4 linked regions of the Yarrowia lipolytica genome follow. The protein of the gene in region 3 purifies or fractionates together with the protein of the main gene of each other region. This does not show direct contact. Links are inferred from orthologs where the notes say so. Each region holds a gene or a part of one and is shown on either strand. Other genes may lie near its edges. The genes, in order: YALI1_D12483g, YALI1_C02831g, YALI1_B16584g and YALI1_F34928g.

What was found.
Region 1: the proteins of YALI1_B16584g (region 3) and YALI1_D12483g purify together in Saccharomyces cerevisiae (affinity purification with western blotting; 14 studies listed by BioGRID, with this or other methods). This does not show direct contact. The link is inferred for Yarrowia lipolytica from reciprocal best matches to the Saccharomyces cerevisiae genes EPL1 and EAF3.
Region 2: the proteins of YALI1_B16584g (region 3) and YALI1_C02831g purify together in Saccharomyces cerevisiae (affinity purification with mass spectrometry; 15 studies listed by BioGRID, with this or other methods). This does not show direct contact. The link is inferred for Yarrowia lipolytica from reciprocal best matches to the Saccharomyces cerevisiae genes EPL1 and TRA1.
Region 4: the proteins of YALI1_B16584g (region 3) and YALI1_F34928g purify together in Saccharomyces cerevisiae (affinity purification with western blotting; 18 studies listed by BioGRID, with this or other methods). This does not show direct contact. The link is inferred for Yarrowia lipolytica from reciprocal best matches to the Saccharomyces cerevisiae genes EPL1 and ARP4.

The regions. Positions count from the first base shown.
Region 1 is NC_090773.1:1,246,659-1,250,270, reverse strand, and holds YALI1_D12483g (uncharacterized protein), read left to right. Parts: upstream 1-1,912; coding exon 1,913-3,076; downstream 3,077-3,612. Other genes in the region: YALI1_D12493g (uncharacterized protein), read right to left, coding at 1-936; YALI1_D12447g (uncharacterized protein), read right to left, coding at 3,382-3,612. UniProt on the Saccharomyces cerevisiae protein: Component of the NuA4 histone acetyltransferase complex which is involved in transcriptional activation of selected genes principally by acetylation of nucleosomal histone H4 and H2A. The NuA4 complex is also involved in DNA repair.
Region 2 is NC_090772.1:281,137-286,166, forward strand, and holds the start of YALI1_C02831g (uncharacterized protein), read right to left. Parts: upstream 3,039-5,030; coding exon 2,975-3,038; intron 2,464-2,974; coding exon 2,300-2,463; intron 2,044-2,299; coding exon 1-2,043. UniProt on the Saccharomyces cerevisiae protein: Essential scaffold subunit of the transcription coactivator SAGA complex. SAGA acts as a general cofactor required for essentially all RNA polymerase II transcription.
Region 3 is NC_090771.1:1,656,808-1,661,482, forward strand, and holds YALI1_B16584g (uncharacterized protein), read left to right. Parts: upstream 1-1,607; coding exon 1,608-4,127; downstream 4,128-4,675. Other genes in the region: YALI1_B16566g (uncharacterized protein), read right to left, coding at 1-38; YALI1_B16572g (uncharacterized protein), read right to left, coding at 131-465, 518-560; YALI1_B16578g (uncharacterized protein), read right to left, coding at 678-1,078, 1,125-1,386, 1,455-1,550.
Region 4 is NC_090775.1:3,491,043-3,494,761, reverse strand, and holds YALI1_F34928g (uncharacterized protein), read left to right. Parts: upstream 1-1,909; coding exon 1,910-3,208; downstream 3,209-3,719. Other genes in the region: YALI1_F34933g (uncharacterized protein), read right to left, coding at 1-1,457; YALI1_F34895g (uncharacterized protein), read right to left, coding at 3,607-3,719. UniProt on the Saccharomyces cerevisiae protein: Chromatin interaction component of the NuA4 histone acetyltransferase complex which is involved in transcriptional activation of selected genes principally by acetylation of nucleosomal histone H4 and H2A. The NuA4 complex is also involved in DNA repair.

The sequences.
Region 1 (3,612 bases), on a different chromosome or scaffold from region 3:
GTCGCCTACGAGCAGACACTCGCCCTTGTGATTATAAGGAGAGCACTTAAGGGACACCAGGGGGGACCGGGGGTTGTTTTCGTACGACTCCAGAATCTGAGACTCGCCCATCAGCTCGTATGCGTCTGGGAACTGCTCCTTGAAGAAGGAAATGAAGGTGTTTTGGGATTCACACACCTGTTCCATGAGCGCCGGGGGAGCAAACAGCGTAGATGTGAACGAGCCATCACCGTTGGCCAGTGCAATGAGCATGTATTTGTGTCGGGGCCAAATGTGCAGGTGGTTGGGCGAGATGGAAAACGGATCGGGTCCGTCGGCCTTGGGGATCTTGAGTTCCAGGTAGACACAGTCAATGTACTGCTGGGCGTAGTTCATTCGGACGTATCGCTGGAGTCGATCTCTGGTCTTGCTGAAGGCTCCATCTGCTCCAATAATGTAGTCACTTTCCACGACCCTCTCTTCGCCCTCCTTGGTCTCAAAAGTCGATGTCGGTCGCTGGTACTTTTTGTCCTTTCGGCTGAGCGAAATGTTGGTTAGTTTGTGCTCGGGGAAGAAGGTGATGTTGGCGTTATCTTCAATCACGTCCAGCATGGTTCGGTTGAGCTGGGCTCGGTCAATCGAGTTGATACACTCGCCCCATAGGCCGTAAGCCTGAGCATGTTGTCCTCCCTGGAGATCGTGGATCATACGACCGTACATGGGGATAATGTCGGCCAGCACTCGCTCGGCCATCTTGGTGTCGACAGATCTGAGTGCCTCGATGCCTCGAGCAGACACAGCCAGGTTAATGGATCGCAACGAGGCGTTTTTGAGCTCCGCCTCGGACCGGAGATCAGGACGAGCATCGTAAAGCGCCACCTTGTGGCCGCGATCTGCGAATGCCAGAGCCGCCAGACAGCCCACAAGACCCGCTCCTACCACTGTGACTTCGTGCATGCTGAAAAAAGATATTTTAGGCGCCTTTTCAGGTTAGATGGTCGGGGTGTATCGCCTTACCAACGGTTGGGAGTACTACTACAGTAACCAAGTGGGGTCATGCGTGCGGCGTAGTCTTTCATATTGGTGGCACGACACTCGTAGTCACGATTGGAAAAAAGTATCGTAGGCGATGGGTGGATTTATATAGTTGCTAATGATGTTAAAAATATGTCTCTATGCAATTGGTCCCTTAAACCCGCCCCGCAAGTTTTCGCTGGTTGTGATGCTCAGTTGACAATCTACCAACCGTCTTTTTTTAGGATTTTTAGAAAAGGTTGTTTTTTACTTGGGATTAGTTGAAGAAAAAAGTCGGCTGGGGGTTCAAATTCGAGGTTCCAGTTATACGAGAGTTACAAGAGTCAAATAAAAACATGTAACCAAAGAGTCTCTTTCAAATGACATAAAAAAAACCTTGTAGCCATATAGAAATATTGCAAGATATCTTGGTTTATGTAAATTATTTAGGTTATCATTTACTTGGGTTTAGTTAAGCGTTTGAATGACTTTTGAGCAGTGTAGGGAACCACTCAGAGCCCTCAAAAAGAGGATAGAAGATCTCAGGGGGCTGTTTAAGCTACTATAACCAGCTCAACCGACAATCTCAATACACAACAAAAGCTCCAGGTAGCCATTGCGCCAATACACAGCAACACAGTAGCGCATGTTTTTCACTCTTCCACAACCCTGACACACAGATTAGGAGTATCGAAACGGCGTATACAAACTAATATTTGCTGAAAACACACTCATCCACCGGGTAAAAAAAACGTTCTCGTTTCTTTTCTCACGCCATACACTCTCAACCTCACCTTCTTCCTCCTCTCGTTGTATTTTTCACGCGTACTTGCGCTACTAACTCGCCAACTCTATATCACCACTTTAGGACGCTCCTCCTACTTCACCACCAACCCACATACACACAATCTCCGCAATCATGGTTCTAGCCACCAATTCGCGGTGCCTGGCGTACCATGGTCCGCTGCTCTACGAAGCAAAGATCCTCATGTCTTACGACCCCTCCAAACGCGGCTCTAAGGCCAAGGTGGAGGACGGGCTTCCGCCCACGGTTGAGATCGGAAACGTGGTCAACACTCACAAGCGCAAGCGGGGTCCTCGCGCCTCTCTTCCTGCTGCGGGCGCAACGCCCGATGGAGACGACTCCAACGACAAAAACCGACACTTTAGTCCAAAGGAAGGGAAACCTGACGTGCCCGCAGATCTGGCCGACGAAAACGAGGACAAAATCTGCTACTACGTGCACTACAAGGGCTGGAAAAACACGTGGGACGAGTGGGTCGGCGAGGAGCGGGTACTGGCTCTCAACGAGGACAACATCAAGCTACAGAAGGAGCTCAAGGCTGCGGCTCTAGCAGCGGCCAAGAAGGGCAAGGATTTTGACGCCCTGGCTCCTCCCGAGGCGCTCAGTGAAACGGCCTCTCCGGCACCAACCACAAAGCGCAAATCCATGGCATCAAAGGACTCTCCTGCTGAGGGACCCCGTCCCGTGAAACGACGAGGGGGACTCGCTGCCCTGGAGGACCTCGAGAAGGAAGACGACTATCTAAAACGCAAGGAAATTGCGCTTGTTGTGCCCGACAAGCTCAAGGCCCAGCTGGTAGACGACTGGGAGTTTGTCACCAAGGACCACCAGCTTGTCGGCTTGCCCCGGAAGGTGACGGTGGTGGACATTCTCAAGGAATTCAAAAAGGAGGCGGAGGCCAAATATAGACCTGGCTCTGCCGACGCCGATATTCTCAACGAGGTGGTGTCGGGAATCAAGCTCTACTTTGATCGCTCGCTGGGCTCAATCTTGCTCTACAGATTCGAGCGAGAGCAGTACCTACAAATCACCCAGAGCCCAGACCACTCCAACAAGACCATGAGCGAAGTCTACGGCGCGGAGCATCTGCTGCGGCTGTTTGTGTCGCTCCCGGGGCTCATTGCTATGACCAACATGGATGCCCAAAGCGTGGCGGTGCTCAAGGAGCACTTGGAGGACTTTGTGCGGTTTCTGTCGACCCACCAGAAAACGTACTTTTTGAAGGAGGCTTACACAAATGCTTCGCCCGCATACGAGGCTCTGTCCAAGGGTCTTTAGGGTTAGAAACGAAGAGCGAGGCAAAGAGTCGCGCAGCGATTCCCTCCGAGCTGGCCTACCGACAACATCATCTGTCATAGGCCGTTGGTCGGTGGTGATTAATCACGTTTGACCATATAGCTAGCTAACTACTCAATACATGTATAACAGTGGGTGTAACGGTGTAAAGTGCTACAATGACACAAGTTTGCGAAAGGAATCGTTTTGTTTATTCAATAAATACAGAAAAGCGCTTAGAAAAAGACTATATATATAAAAAGAGAGGTGCAGGCGTGAATGTCAAAAAAGTTGAAATCTAGTTTGGTTTAAGCCGTCAAACCAAAGTCGAAATCAAGATCGAGCTCGGGAAGCATGTTTCTAGACTCCCGGGAAGGTCGTCGGACATGCGAGCCTTCAGGCCGGGGTCCAGAGGGTACCCGCTTCTTGATTTGCAAGGGGGGGATGAAAGAAGAGCTCACACTAGTCTCATAAGTGGCAGGACGGGCCTCAGGAATGCAAGCTTTGACTGGAGAGTCGTAAGACGACTGGAAGGTGGC
Region 2 (5,030 bases), on a different chromosome or scaffold from region 3:
GGGGAACAGGTTCACCGCCATGAAACACAGCTTGAAGAGCCGGATCAGAATGTTTGATTTTTGAATGTTTCCGTCTCCGAGCTCAGGGAGCTTCTCCTTCAGAAACGAAATCAGCAACGAAGAGAAGTTGGCAGAAGTAGCTTCGGAAGCCATGAAGAATTGGGGGATGTGAAGCAGTGCAGAATTGGAGAACATGGCGTCGTAGAGAAAGGGGAGCTCGCTCTCGATGATCTCGTTGAACGACGCCGAGTCAATGTGAATGAACACGGTCACAAATGTCTCCATGAGATCCTTCTCGGCTTTGGAACTGACCACAGGCAGCGAGGGGGCACCGAGGTCGTTGTTGGCGACCGTAGCGGTCTTGTCGGTCACGTGAGAGGCGAAAAACAGATGACCCTTGATGCCCTCCTCAAACAGCTTGCGGAAGATAGTAATTTGCTCAAAGTTGAACAGTCGGGCGGACTCGTTCCACACAGCCTCGCTAATGTCGGCAATTGGACATGGTGGGTTGCACGACTTGAGGCCAAACATGACCGTTTTGAGGAAGTTCATGAGGTTCTTGAACAAGTAACGGGCGTCCTCGAGGGGATCCGTCGTGGGAGTAGGGTGAATCTTGATCAGCGACGACGCCTGGATCTCAAAGTAGTCAAAGTCGTACTCGGATTCGATCCGGGGCTTCTGCGGGACGACATCGTTGGACTCGACCTCGTCGACTTCTAGGTCCTCGGCCTTGCGTTTGAGCCCAGATGACTCAGCAGAGGTTCCCAGCTTCACGTCAACCTGGATGTCCTCCTCGGGCTTGACTTCAGCAATGGGTTTGTCTCCACCTTCAGCCTTCTTCTCAGCCTGCTCTTTCAGCCACCGCTCGTGGCCCCTCATGACATTGGGATATGTTCTGTTGAGGGCACCGAAGAGCTCTGTGAAGGCATTCAGAATCAATACCATGGTCTGACGGCCCTCGTTGCGATCCTGCAGCTTCATGATCGGGTCCACAAGGTTCAGGAGCAGCTTGGCACTCATAATCTGGAACGAGTTGGCCAGCGACGCGTCCAGCATATTGGCGCAGTACACCTTGACAGTCTTCCAGATTTGCTGGAGCGTCAATTCGCTGCGCACGTGGTGAATGAGATCCGCCATGATAGAGTATGCCAGCGGCTTGAGCGTTTCTCTGACTGTCAGACCATCACCAATCAACACCCGCTCCTCCAGCAGAATGTCAATTTTGGGGATGAACATGGTCCTTATATCCGTCGACGTAATGTGTCGAGCGGCGACCAGGAGCTCCTTTCGAGCGGCGGAAAGCTCGCAGGGGCAGTCCTGAAGAAGACGCACCACGAGATCGGGAATGATCACGTGATATTCCTGCAGAAACGGCGGGAAGCCTCGCAGCGCGTATGCCAGAAACGACATGGTCTTGACCTGGCAGGTGATGAAGTCGCCGTAAGCCGCGCGGTTGCGGATCTGGGGCGAGATGGTCGTCAGGATATCGCCACGAGCCTCGGCCTGGGCATGGGCCTCGGCCTGGGGAGGGGCTTGAATTCTCAGCATCTCAATCACGTGAGGCAGGAACTGAGGCAAGAGTGTGGGCACCATGGCTCTGTGGGTGGAGAAGAGCAGTACCACAATGATGGGGCACTCAATGAGCACCTTGAATGAGAACAACGACTTGGCCAGGGGGCGAGAAGCTGCTCCGCCAGGTGTGGCGACGCTCACGTCTCCGTCAGAGACTAGAGACGGCGACATGGGGGACTGGAAGTTTGAGGAGCCGGTCTGGTTGACGCCAAACGTGTCCTTGACGACCGAGGGGATGTTCTTGTAGAGGTCGGTGACGAGCTCAAGGAACTGGGTCACGTGGTCGCCGCCCAGGTGCGCCTTGTAGCCCTTGTGCAGGGCCGTGAGGATTTTCATACATGTCACTCCGTTTTCTTCGTTGTCGGTACGGAGGATGGACATGATTTGCTCCAACAGAGCGGAGGAGTAGGGTTTGAGGAGATCGTTGGTTTGTAGACGAAGGAGTATTTCGAGGATCGATGATCGGAGTTTCTGAGTTAGTACGGGAGGTGGGGTGAGTGACTAAGTGAAGAAAGGCAGACATACTGAGAGCCATAGTGGCAGATGTCATTCATCAACAGCAGCAACAACTGTGACAGTATCCTCCAGTCCATATTAGTCACTCCTCATCTCTGAGATTGAACCAGGAACCGAGTGAGATGAGAGGTGATTGTTGTATCTCGTGTGTCGTCTGCATTTATCAGGTTTTTCTCTTGCCATTCCTCTAGAATGATTCTATCGTACTCACTTGCTCGACGGAAATACTCGTGAAAGACACGGGGGTGGACTCCAAGATTTTGGTGTATACCGGCATCATCTTCTGCAGATAGTATTCGTAGTCTGCGGGGGAAGATTGAAATGAATCAACGGCATCTCGGAGTTCTGACGCAGCGACTACTTTTGATTTTAGGTCTGGGTTAGCGGAGTTCAATGGAGCTCCAAGAGCGAATGGATGAAAGGGCAGAGCGACGATATGTTGCTCTCGAGATGATGGCGATATGTAGCGACGAGAATGCCAAACCGAACGATTTAGACCGGTGAAGGACGATATGACAGACAGTGTAGCATGCATGGGCGAATGGACGCTGGAACGGACGAATATGAAGTGCTACAGTAAAAGTGGCAGAGTCCGTGGTGAGGAACACTGTTATGCCAGCCTTTCAAAAGTAGCAGAGCCCATAGTGTCGACCACTGGTGTTATGCCAGCGTCTCTACAGACAATTCTCACTGACCATCACAACACCACATCCATTTCGCCCAAAAACCGTCGAATGAGCTCAAAAAAACGTGATCCTGGCTCGTCTCCATCGTGTTATTCACCCTATCCACCTCTTTTGTCACTCAGACGTCTCCTTCGCATTTTGTCGAGTTCCATCACTGGGTGTCTCACACCTCTCCGCCTCTTCACCTGCTCAATACTCACCGGAATCATCGCTCAGACGGCTGTGGAACGCATCAACTTGCGCCTGGGTTGAAGCGTCGCGCATTTTGGGCTGTGACGGGCTCAAAAACGATGTGGAAATGTGATGTGTGGAGCAAAAGAGACTACCGAAATGTTCGTGAACACCAACTGGGACATGCACCTTGTGAAATTTCCTTACGTAAGCGTGTATAGGGTTGAAAACCGATAAATGGCGAGTGGGGGGCGGTTTTTTCAAAATTGAAAAGATTTTCCCGTGATATAAGCGATTTCGAGTCGATCTGTATATTGAGATTTTCAATAGCTCGTCAGCAACACATCCGAATGCCCGTCTCCAATTTCGTGTTTAGCTTTCCCTTCTGGTCAGTGGCTGGGAAAGTTTAATTTTTCTATGAGAAAAGTGATCACCCTCGTTAAGGACCAAATATTGGGTGGATTGAAAATCTGAGTGGATTTATGGAATCAGCGTATCTTGAGCTCCTCCCCGATACCAAATTTGAAGGTAAAAATCAAGAATTTTGGCTGATAATGGCAACGTCTGGAATCTGACAAAAATGTGGGAACCCCGTTTGTGAAATTTGCTTATGTAATCGTACATAAGGTTTCGAACATTTAGACGAGAGAAGGCATCTCTTAGTAAGCGTGTACCAATTGTCTGGCGCTTAGTAAGCACGTCCTACCAAAATGCCGTAGTGAGGGTGGGGAGGGAAAAAGAGAGGTGACGCTTACTTACTTGCGTCTAGCACACTCCGATACGGGGAATCGAACCCCGGTCTCCACGGTTCTCGACTTGAGAGCGTGATGTGATAGCCCCTACACTATATCGGACTGTTTTGTTCCGGAGGAGGATGCAGGGTAGATGTGAAAGACGGGTTTTGGGGCGACATAAAAAAACGGAAAAAGTGGGATAATGGAAAGGGGAGTTGATTATAAGGTTCCACTCGAGTTTTTGAAGTTGTGAGGGTGTTTTTTTGAGAATCTGGGGTGTTTTTTGACGGAGTTGAGGTCAGTGGAGGTTGAGCAGGGCTGGATAGGAGATGGGGAAGCAGGATATGACAGAAGATGGGAACAGGACTTGATGACTTGATGAGGTGATCAAACCCGCTCCGCTGAATCAATTGTGATTGTCGGATTTACTATAGAAGCTGTGGATGAGGAGATAGATGAGCGATGTGTGTTTGGAAGATGAAGGTGAACTTGTATACTGCACCCTTAGATAAGTCTCTGTTACGTAATCAGATTGTATGGCAGCAGAATGTTGGGAATTCAGTTGTTTTGTGGTTTCCACTCAGACATTTTCATACACTTTTCATCTACATTCTGGTCTATACACGGTCGGATCAGCTCTCATATTCCGACTCATTTTTGAGGGCACAATTTCCGAGCCGCATGAGCAAAAGGCGAGATATCTAGGAGATAAAAACCAGTAAAGCATTGGAGGAATACCCTGGAAGGAAAAAAATAGACCCGTTCTCGCTGTGTGGAATTCAAAAAAATCACTGATCAGCTAGAAGCTAGGGGAATTAAACCCCCATATGTTCCTCCACTGTCAGTTCTGTTAGAACTTGACATGGACAGGAATTGAACCTGCAACCCTTCGATTACAACCAAGTTGACTGGAGTCGAAAGCTCTACCATTGAGCCACCACATCAGTGATATTATAATTTTTTTCTGTTTGGACCCAGCTACAGTGAAATCTGGCTTTTTTTCCCCCATTCATTTTTCTGGCCTTACAGGGCGTAATGGGCGAGGGGACTGATTGTGGAAAGTTGCAGAGGGCTCTATATACATTCACACATACAAAAACCTCGATAAATGTTGATCTGATGCCTCTGGGGGTTGTTTTTGTTGGGGAGAGGAGAGAATGTTGTATCAACGACAGCAGAAGGACTAGAATAAAACAAAACAAAAAACACGTGTTTCAAGTGGAAGATTTTAACGGGAAATTCGATTAGAAGATGAAAGGAAAGGTGTGAAAGCTGTCGTCATGCTGTTGGATGATTTTCCCCATTCAGGAGGGTATTATCTCCATTAATGTCAACTAAATGTAACTATACT
Region 3 (4,675 bases):
TTTTGCCCCATTTTCCTACCCATAAGACTTAGTGTCATCAGGTCCCGACTGACTGGCTCTTGCACCGTGCACTCTCAATGCACTTTTACTTTCACTTCTCTTCTCACTCTTCTACCCCACACACCACACATCAGAATGTCCACCAAAAGATAACTAACCAGCGATAAAAACGGCCACACCGCTCAGTGTGTGCTGCCCAAAGTGAGTCTACAACCCCCGTGTGTTTTCGTCCCCTCTCCACCATTCTCTGATGTAACTGGAACCTGGCAATTTTACCTACAAAGGTGGCCAAATCGGAGCGAGAAAAAGTACCGCAAAAGTGATGGAATTCCTGCTTGCTTTGACATGGCAGAGTCCCCACAATCCGGTGGACTTGGCTTTGTGCCAATTCGCACCGCTGGCGTCTCCTTGGGGTACTGTCTGGGGGTCCCGGTATGGGCACCCGGTCAGTGTGGCGCTGAGGGACTCACGTTTCGGTCACGAGCACCTCTTCGACTCCACAGTGGCCCCGAGACACTCAGTACGACGCACTCCTGAGGTCCTGTGCCCGACTGGCCCATTTCCGACCTCTTGACTTCCACCTGATCAACCCACCACACTGGCGCTATTTCCACCCATCCTCAGAACGCTGGCCGAATTGGGAGCGCCGGGTTAGGGCTTTGGGTTTGACGAGGGGACTACGAGTATGAGTATGGGATGCCAAACTGCCAGATAATATCTGGGATTTTGGTGTGTGCTGGGAGTTTCGTTAGAGTTTGTTCGTTGGGAGGAAGTAAAAGCCTATTCTGGGTCGGGAAACCAAACACACCACACCCCCCTTGCAACTCTTTGTGGAGGCTGCTGTCAATCAACATTACACACACACACACACACGAGACACACGGCACACTGTGCACGACATAACACAACACAACACCGACGACGGCAACGACACCAAGTGGGCACCACACAACAACATCGTTACCGACATCTGAGAAAGACGACTTGCACAGACAACGACCCACTGAGCATTGAAATCTCACCCGCGGCGAACTATTTGATTTTATTTGCGCCAACAGCCTTGTTACGAACCAGCTGACTGACGTTCGATTGCGACACGTAACCCCCTTCGGTGGCAAATTAACCCCCTCTTTTTGGCTTTACGACCAGCTCTCCTGTGCTTAGACTCGGGCAGGTTCTGACGTAACAAGTCCCAACAATCATATACCCTAGCCCTAGATTTCCTATTGCGGGGTAAGAGTTGTCCCAGTGGCAACAACGGGCCAATAAGGAGCGGCGACGAAATGTGCAAATTTTTCTAGGCGGATTATCACCAGAAATTATCGACGAGACTGCGAGGAGGAGGAGTGGAGCGGACGAAAAAACGACAGCAAGCAAGAGCAGACACTACTGTAAGACACCGGCCCTGACCAGACCTCTTTTCAGCGCTCTTTTTGCCCCCATTTTCGGCCTACTTTCCCTGCTCTTTTATTTTTAAAACTTCGCAGACACCGTGACACGCGCATTTTTTTACAGGGGAGGATTAACAGGGCGACACTAAAAAAAGACATCACCAACAACACACACAGCAACCACGCTTAAAGCGTTCCCATACGACTCCACCAAGAATGGCCAAGGCAGCCAAGGCGGCCGGTTCGTCGGCACGCTTCCGCCAGCGGAAAATCAGCGTCAAGCAGACGCTGGCGGTACTCAAGCAGTCTGACATCCCAGACCTTGAGGAGGAGCAGCAGCGCGAGCTGCAACAGATTGAGACGGGAGTGGAGAAGGGCGAGGAGGAGGAGCACCATCTGCAGGCGGCCATCAACTCATCGATAGCCCAGAGCACCGGCGCAAAGGTGGAGAAAATCTACATTCCCACCCCAGATGCGTCGCAGGTGTGGAAGGAGTATGACCGGTTCTACTCTTCGTCGTTTCATGAGCCCGCCAGTTACATCCGGACGAGTGTGACGGTCGAAGAGACCTCCGGATGTCTCTACAACATGGATGATGAAGATGCAGAGTTTCTCAAGACGTGCAAGCCGCCAATATCGGAAGACGACTTCGAGGAGGTGATGCACAGATTCGAGGTGACCATCAGCGAAAAACAACCGTTTGTGTCCATCGACGTGTCGAACCTTCTGTCGTTTGAGGAGATGGCCCAGCACATTGAAGATGGTATTCGGCAGGTTCAGGAGGACCCAACGTCGCCGGAATACATTTTGGCGCAGTTGCAGTCTTCTCTAGGCATCACTGTGAATGGTACTAAGGGTAAGAATGAGGGTAAGGCGTTTCTGGCAACGTTCAAGAAGATCGGCGCTGTCATCTATCCACACTGGCGAGCACGCAAGGTGGAACGCAAAGGCCAGTCCATTGTGCCCCACCTAAAATTTGAGGATCATGAGAAGGACGACAGTGACCCATATGTGTGTTTCCGACGCCGAGAGTTGCGGCAGGTGCGAAAGACTCGTCGTACGGACGTGTTGAGCATCGAGCGACTACGGCGCATGCAGGCAGAGATGGAAACCGCCAAGCAGCTGGTGGAGATGGTTGCCACGCGAGAATTTACTCGCAAGGCTGCTCTCAAGGCTGAATGGGATGTGTTCGAGGACAGATGCGCCATCAAGACTCTCAAGCGAGAGTTGGGCATCAAAGGTGAGGATGAGGATCTGGTGGCTCAAAAGAAGCGAAAGGTGGAGCCCAAGAAGGAGGAAAAAGCGGAGAAGGCATCTACTCCTGTTCGAGGAGGCAAGGCCGCTGGCTCTGCTGCTTCTGCCCAGGCCGCTGCTGCACAGGCTGCTGCTGCAGGCTCGGGTTCGCCTTCCGTGTCTTCCACACATGTGCCACCAAATGTGTCCATTCCACCGTCCAAGATCCCCAACATGGACCTCATCACTATTGCCCAAGTTGTGCGAGACAAGGACGAGGCGATTGCAAAGGCGGTGCGCGAGAAGCTACGACTTCGAGCAGATGCAGACCGCGACTGGCACAATCTCACAAACTCGGGCTACATTCCTTACTGCGAGTACTTGAACGCTGAGGTATCTTCTTCTGGTGAGCCTCCTGTGCCTCAGTACTCGTCTATCAATGAGATGGCTTACTTTGAGAAGCACAACGCCAGCCACCGGTACACCACCAAGAGCGACTTCAACAAGGATCTCGCCAGTATGGTTGGCAACAAGCCCTTTGCAGATGCTCAGGTGTATGGTGCTATTGTGGGAGATGATGGGGAGTTGCGATTATCAGATGCAACATCTACTTCGTCACCTGTGGACCGTGTTATTCCCCGGTCTTCTTTTATGTCCATGCGAAAGCGTGTTGGTCGAGGAGGACGGATGTGGATGGACCGGCGAGGCCTGCAGCGCAACACTGTGCTCAAGCCCAGCAGTCTGGCCAAAAACTCCCTGGACGACACTGCCGAGAGTGAGGCAGACGAGGTTGCCATGGAGCGACTGGCAGACCGGCAAAAGTACGATCGAGAGACAGAGCCGACGCGGCAAATGTCCAGCTACGACAAGGACCCGTCTCAGCTGAATGGCATTTCGTCGGACACACAGTCAATTCGGTTTGGCTCCATGCTGCTGTCCAAGGCCTACGAGAACTACCGCGAGGTGTTCCAGCAGCGCCAGCAGCAGTTGATGATGCTACAGCAGCAGATTCTTCAGCAGCAGCAACAGCAACAGATGCGAAACCGGCAACAATCTCACCCCCCGGGCGACCCAGGGGCCGGTCTAGGAGGTGGTCAAGGAGCCGGAGGAGGAGCTGGCGGCAGTCGCAACAACAGTCCTGCTCCCGGTACTAATGGCCCTCAGTCCAAGATGCACAATGCCGCTCCCATGGGCTACAACAAGCAAGGTATGACGCCCAGCCAACATCAACAATATCAACAGATGCAGCAACAACAACAGCAGCAGCAACAGCAGCAACAACAGCGTAAAATGGGAGTCGCTCCTATGAATGCAGCTTCCGCGGCTGCAGCGATGGCCGCTCAACCTCGGCGATCTAGTGGCAGTCCTGATGGTCAACGATTCAACGGACTGCCCAACGGAGGGGCCATGGCCAATGGGGTTCTTCCGAATGGCATGAGTCAGCGGATGATGCCTGGAGGAGACATGAAGCAGAAATCTGAGTTGGCAAAGGTGGATGCGTAAAGAGAAGACTGTATATAGTAATGATGATTTATGAGCACCCATGGTGTATTCTTATTTGATATTGTAGTGGATTTACTGGTGAGGCGAGCATGTGCTGTATCACTGTATGCACATGTCCTGGAGATTTGGTTTCATTGTACTTGTATTTCGACCGGGGAGCATTGTGTTTGAAGTTAGGGGGGGGTTTTATTGTATTGTGGCAGCTGCTGATAACGACGACATTTGTAATCTGTCAACTTTGTTATCAATCTGCACTGTGACTGCAATATGACAGACGTGCAGGGCAAGCTTTGTGTTGATGTCACTCACTCTGGTTTGAATTTGATTGAAGAGATATCGAAAAACGCATATCTGAGCCGACTTGATTTGGCGATTCGTTTTATGTATTGAACTATAGAGACCGCTAATTATGAGCCAAGATGCTTGTTTCAGATTCCACCCTGCCTTGATTTGGGGCTATTTTGGCAAGGGTAGAGTGGTCGTACAAGTACTTGTACTCGTAGTCTAATGTAAGGTGTTCTACCTGTAGCTAAGTACTTATACTAGCT
Region 4 (3,719 bases), on a different chromosome or scaffold from region 3:
TTCTTGAACAGCAGAGAGGAGAAAATGAGGGAGCCCAGATGACCGGCGACACCGGCGTTAACAGGAACCAGAGAGGACTTTCGTAGCTCAGGCTCGAGCAGCTTGAATCGAATGGTAAGCTGGGCAGGGGTAAGAACTCCCTCGGTCTGAGCGACCTCGGGAATAGAGTCCAGAGCGGCCTGCAGCAGAGGATCGTCACCAGCAGCCCGTCGGATGGACTCGACGTAAGGGCCGAGGGCCACGGGCTCGGAACCCTTGAGAGCACCGGTGAGCTTAGCGATGGCAAGATGCAGAGCTGCGGTTCGGCCGGAGGCGTCAACGGCCTGCTCGGTCTTGAGAGCCAGGTCCTGCAGCTGGGTGAGGGAAGTCTGGAGGTCCTTGAGCTTGGAGAGACGGCCCTCTCGCTCGGTTTCGACTCGCTCGGCAATCTCCTGGGCGTACTGCTTTTGTCGCTCGGCCTCGACGGCCTGAATCAGGTTGTTGGCGTGAGAAGAAACAAGGGACTTGGTGGCCTCAATCTCGACTCGGAGACGGTCGTGGTAGACCTTCTCAGAGTGGGCTCGCAGAGCGGCAAACTCGTTTCGCAGCTGCTGCTCGGCGGCAGACACCTTAGACGAGATTTCCTCGCCGGTGGAAGCCTTGAGCTTGGCCAGCTCGCTGTTGAGCTTGTTGATGGAGTTCTTAGCTTCCTCGGCGGCCTCAGACTTGATCTGGGCCACGTTGTGCTGCAGCTGGTCGACCACGGTGGAGACCTTGGCGGAGAGCTGCTTGGCGGCACCAGAGGGGGCCACGGCGATCAGATCATTGAAGGTCTGGACGGCGGCCTTGACGGCGGGGTCAGAGTCGTTAGCCAGTCGCACAGCGGGCACGGTGGTGTTGTCAGTCTTGGGGGAACCACTAGAGACAGGGGAGGCGGTGGCAGCAGGAGCGGGGGAAGCGACGTCCTTGGCCACGTTGGCAGCGGGAGAAGATGCAGACTTGGCAGAAGTAGCAGCATCGGTGGAGTCGACCGCTCGCCAGGTAGCACCGGACTTGGGCACTCGGACGGTGGACTGGTCAACGTCATGCTTGGAGGTGGGAGTCGCGATCTTGAGTCGGCCGGATCGCAGCTGCTGCTCCTCAATGTAGTTGATGGCGTGCTCGGCCGCGGGCACGTACTCGACAAACAGGCTCTGGAACTGGTCGTTCTGAAGGGAGTAATAAACACCTCCGGCAAAGGCGCCGGCGCCGACAAAGGTGGAGAGCAGCACAAAGTTTCGGAACTTGTGAGTCTTCTTCTTCTGCTTGGAGGCTCCCTCAAAGGTGGCTCCGGGAGGCTTGCCCGAGGCAGCAGAGGCGCCATTGGCTGTTCCAACAGTGGAGCCGGTAGCGGGCTTGGCGGCCTGCTGGAGCCGAGAGGCGGTGCTCAGCATGCGACGCTGCACAATTGACCGGTGCATGGCTGTAGCTCTGATCATTGTGTGTTTGGTCGAGGTTTTTTTCTGTTCAGTACAGACCTTGTGTGGTGAGGAACAGCAATAGCAAGGGTGGCTTTTGATTGGGTGCAGGTGCCCTTACCCTGTTGGGAGGTTTGTCTAGGTGCCTGGGATGGAGGACAATGTTTTGTCACTGTCAAGACGGGATATTGTGGGGATTTGAGAAATATATTTGATCAGCCGGTCTCGAAGATTATATTCGCGCTTTCGCCTTTGAAATTGCTCCTTTTGTTGCCGTTTCGAACTGTAGTCTCGTGCTACTGAGTCTCATGTTAATTTTTGTTTCGGCCTCGACTTAATTAACTCTAACCAATGTTATTTTCGTGCATTAACGAAACTCGAACGCACGATCAGTCACACTCTCCACCATCAAATATCACGTACAGACTGGTACCCCATACATACTACCATCTGAAGACGACACACCACCCATCATGACTACAACAGCTCCAGCCCCCCAGGTGTATGGAGGCGATGAGGTGGCGACCCTGGTGATCGACACCGGGTCGTCGTACACTCGAGTCGGATACGCCGGAGAAGATACCCCCAAACTGGTGGTTTCCACAGAGTGTGGACTGATGGCAGACGAGGATGTCGAGATGGAGGACGATACAAGCAACACAACCAAAAAATTAAACAAGTACAAGGTTGGCGACTCCGCCAATCTGCCACTGCCCAACATGGAGGTGCTTCATCCTCTTACCGACGGGATTGTGGCTGATTGGGACGCGGTGCAGAATATTTGGGAATACTCGCTGGCTCGACTCAATGCCGACACAAAGACACACCCATTGATGCTGACGGAGCCGTGCTGGAACACGCAGGCCAACAAGCTCAAGGCGCTTGAAATCGCGTTCGAGAGCCTCGAGGTCCCGGCATCGTACTTGGTCAAGGACGCTGTGGCTTCTGCGTTTGCTGCAGGAAAGGGAAACGCACTGGTACTGGATGTAGGATCTGAAGTGGCTTCTGTGACACCTGTCATTGATGGATTGGTGCTTTACAAGCCCGCGCGACGGTCACAGTACGCTGGAGACTATTTGGATAGACAGATTAAAAAGGTGCTTGTTTCACGAGGAATCGATCTCACTCCTCGGTTCGAGATTAAGAACAAGAAGGCTGTGGAGATGGGTGAGCCACCTGTGTTCACCAAGCGGGAGCTTCCCAACGTCACTCATTCCTTCACTGATCTGCAGGTGTCTCGTATTCTCTCTGAGTTCAAGGACTCCATGTGTCAGGTGAACGATGTTCCCCTGACTCCAGAAATCTCTGGTGAAGCCGCCGACCGGGTCTTCGAGTTCCCCACGGGCTACAGCACAACTTTCGGAGCAGACCGTCTGTCTACTTCTGAGAGCTTATTCAAGCCCAGTGAGTACCCTTTTGACGGAGAGACTGTGCCAGATACTGCGCGGGGACTCAGTGAGATGGTGGTGGACACAATCAACGCTTCCAACGTGGATGTGAGGGCTCACCTGGCTAACAACATTGTTATCACTGGTGGAGGGTCGCTGGTTCAGGGTCTCAGTGATAGAGTCAGTAAGGACGTGACCCAGGCCCTGAGTGGTCTTAAGGTCCGAGTTGCTGCTGCTTCCAACCAGGAGGAGCGACGACACGGTGCTTGGATTGGCGGTTCTGTTTTGGGCAGCCTGGGATCGTTCCATCAGCTGTGGGTCAGCAAACAGGAGTGGCAGGAGAAGGGAGGAGACTATTTGGTCGAAAAGAAGCGGTTCAAGTAAAGGACTAGAACTAAGATTGTATAGATGGAATGTATTATTTAATGGCAATAAGTTCTTGTCACAGTCGGTATTCTATAGGTACATCCTGTACATACTGTACTTACACTTGTACACTATGTACATACTGTACATGCGTACAATACCTTGTAGTACGCAGCAGTGGCTACTTTTACTTTCTTCATGATTAATCATACAGTATGTACTGTAATATCTACAACTAGAGATACATGTTTACTGCTTGTACGATGGTATCGTACAACCGCCCCGTTCTTCCTCAGCTCGCTATAAGTAAATTGTTCACATTACGAAAACTGAACGGTCCATTCATCCTCGTTCAGTGCAGATAATAATAAATATGCTATTCCTATTTGCAGTTATCTCAATGCTTAATCCCATGATCAGTTCAAAAACTTCCAGTTGCGCTCCTCCATACCCTTCATGACATGCTCGACAAGCTTCTGACGTCGGGACTTGAGGTACGAGCACTTGTCCAGAAAGTTGACCTTGGCTC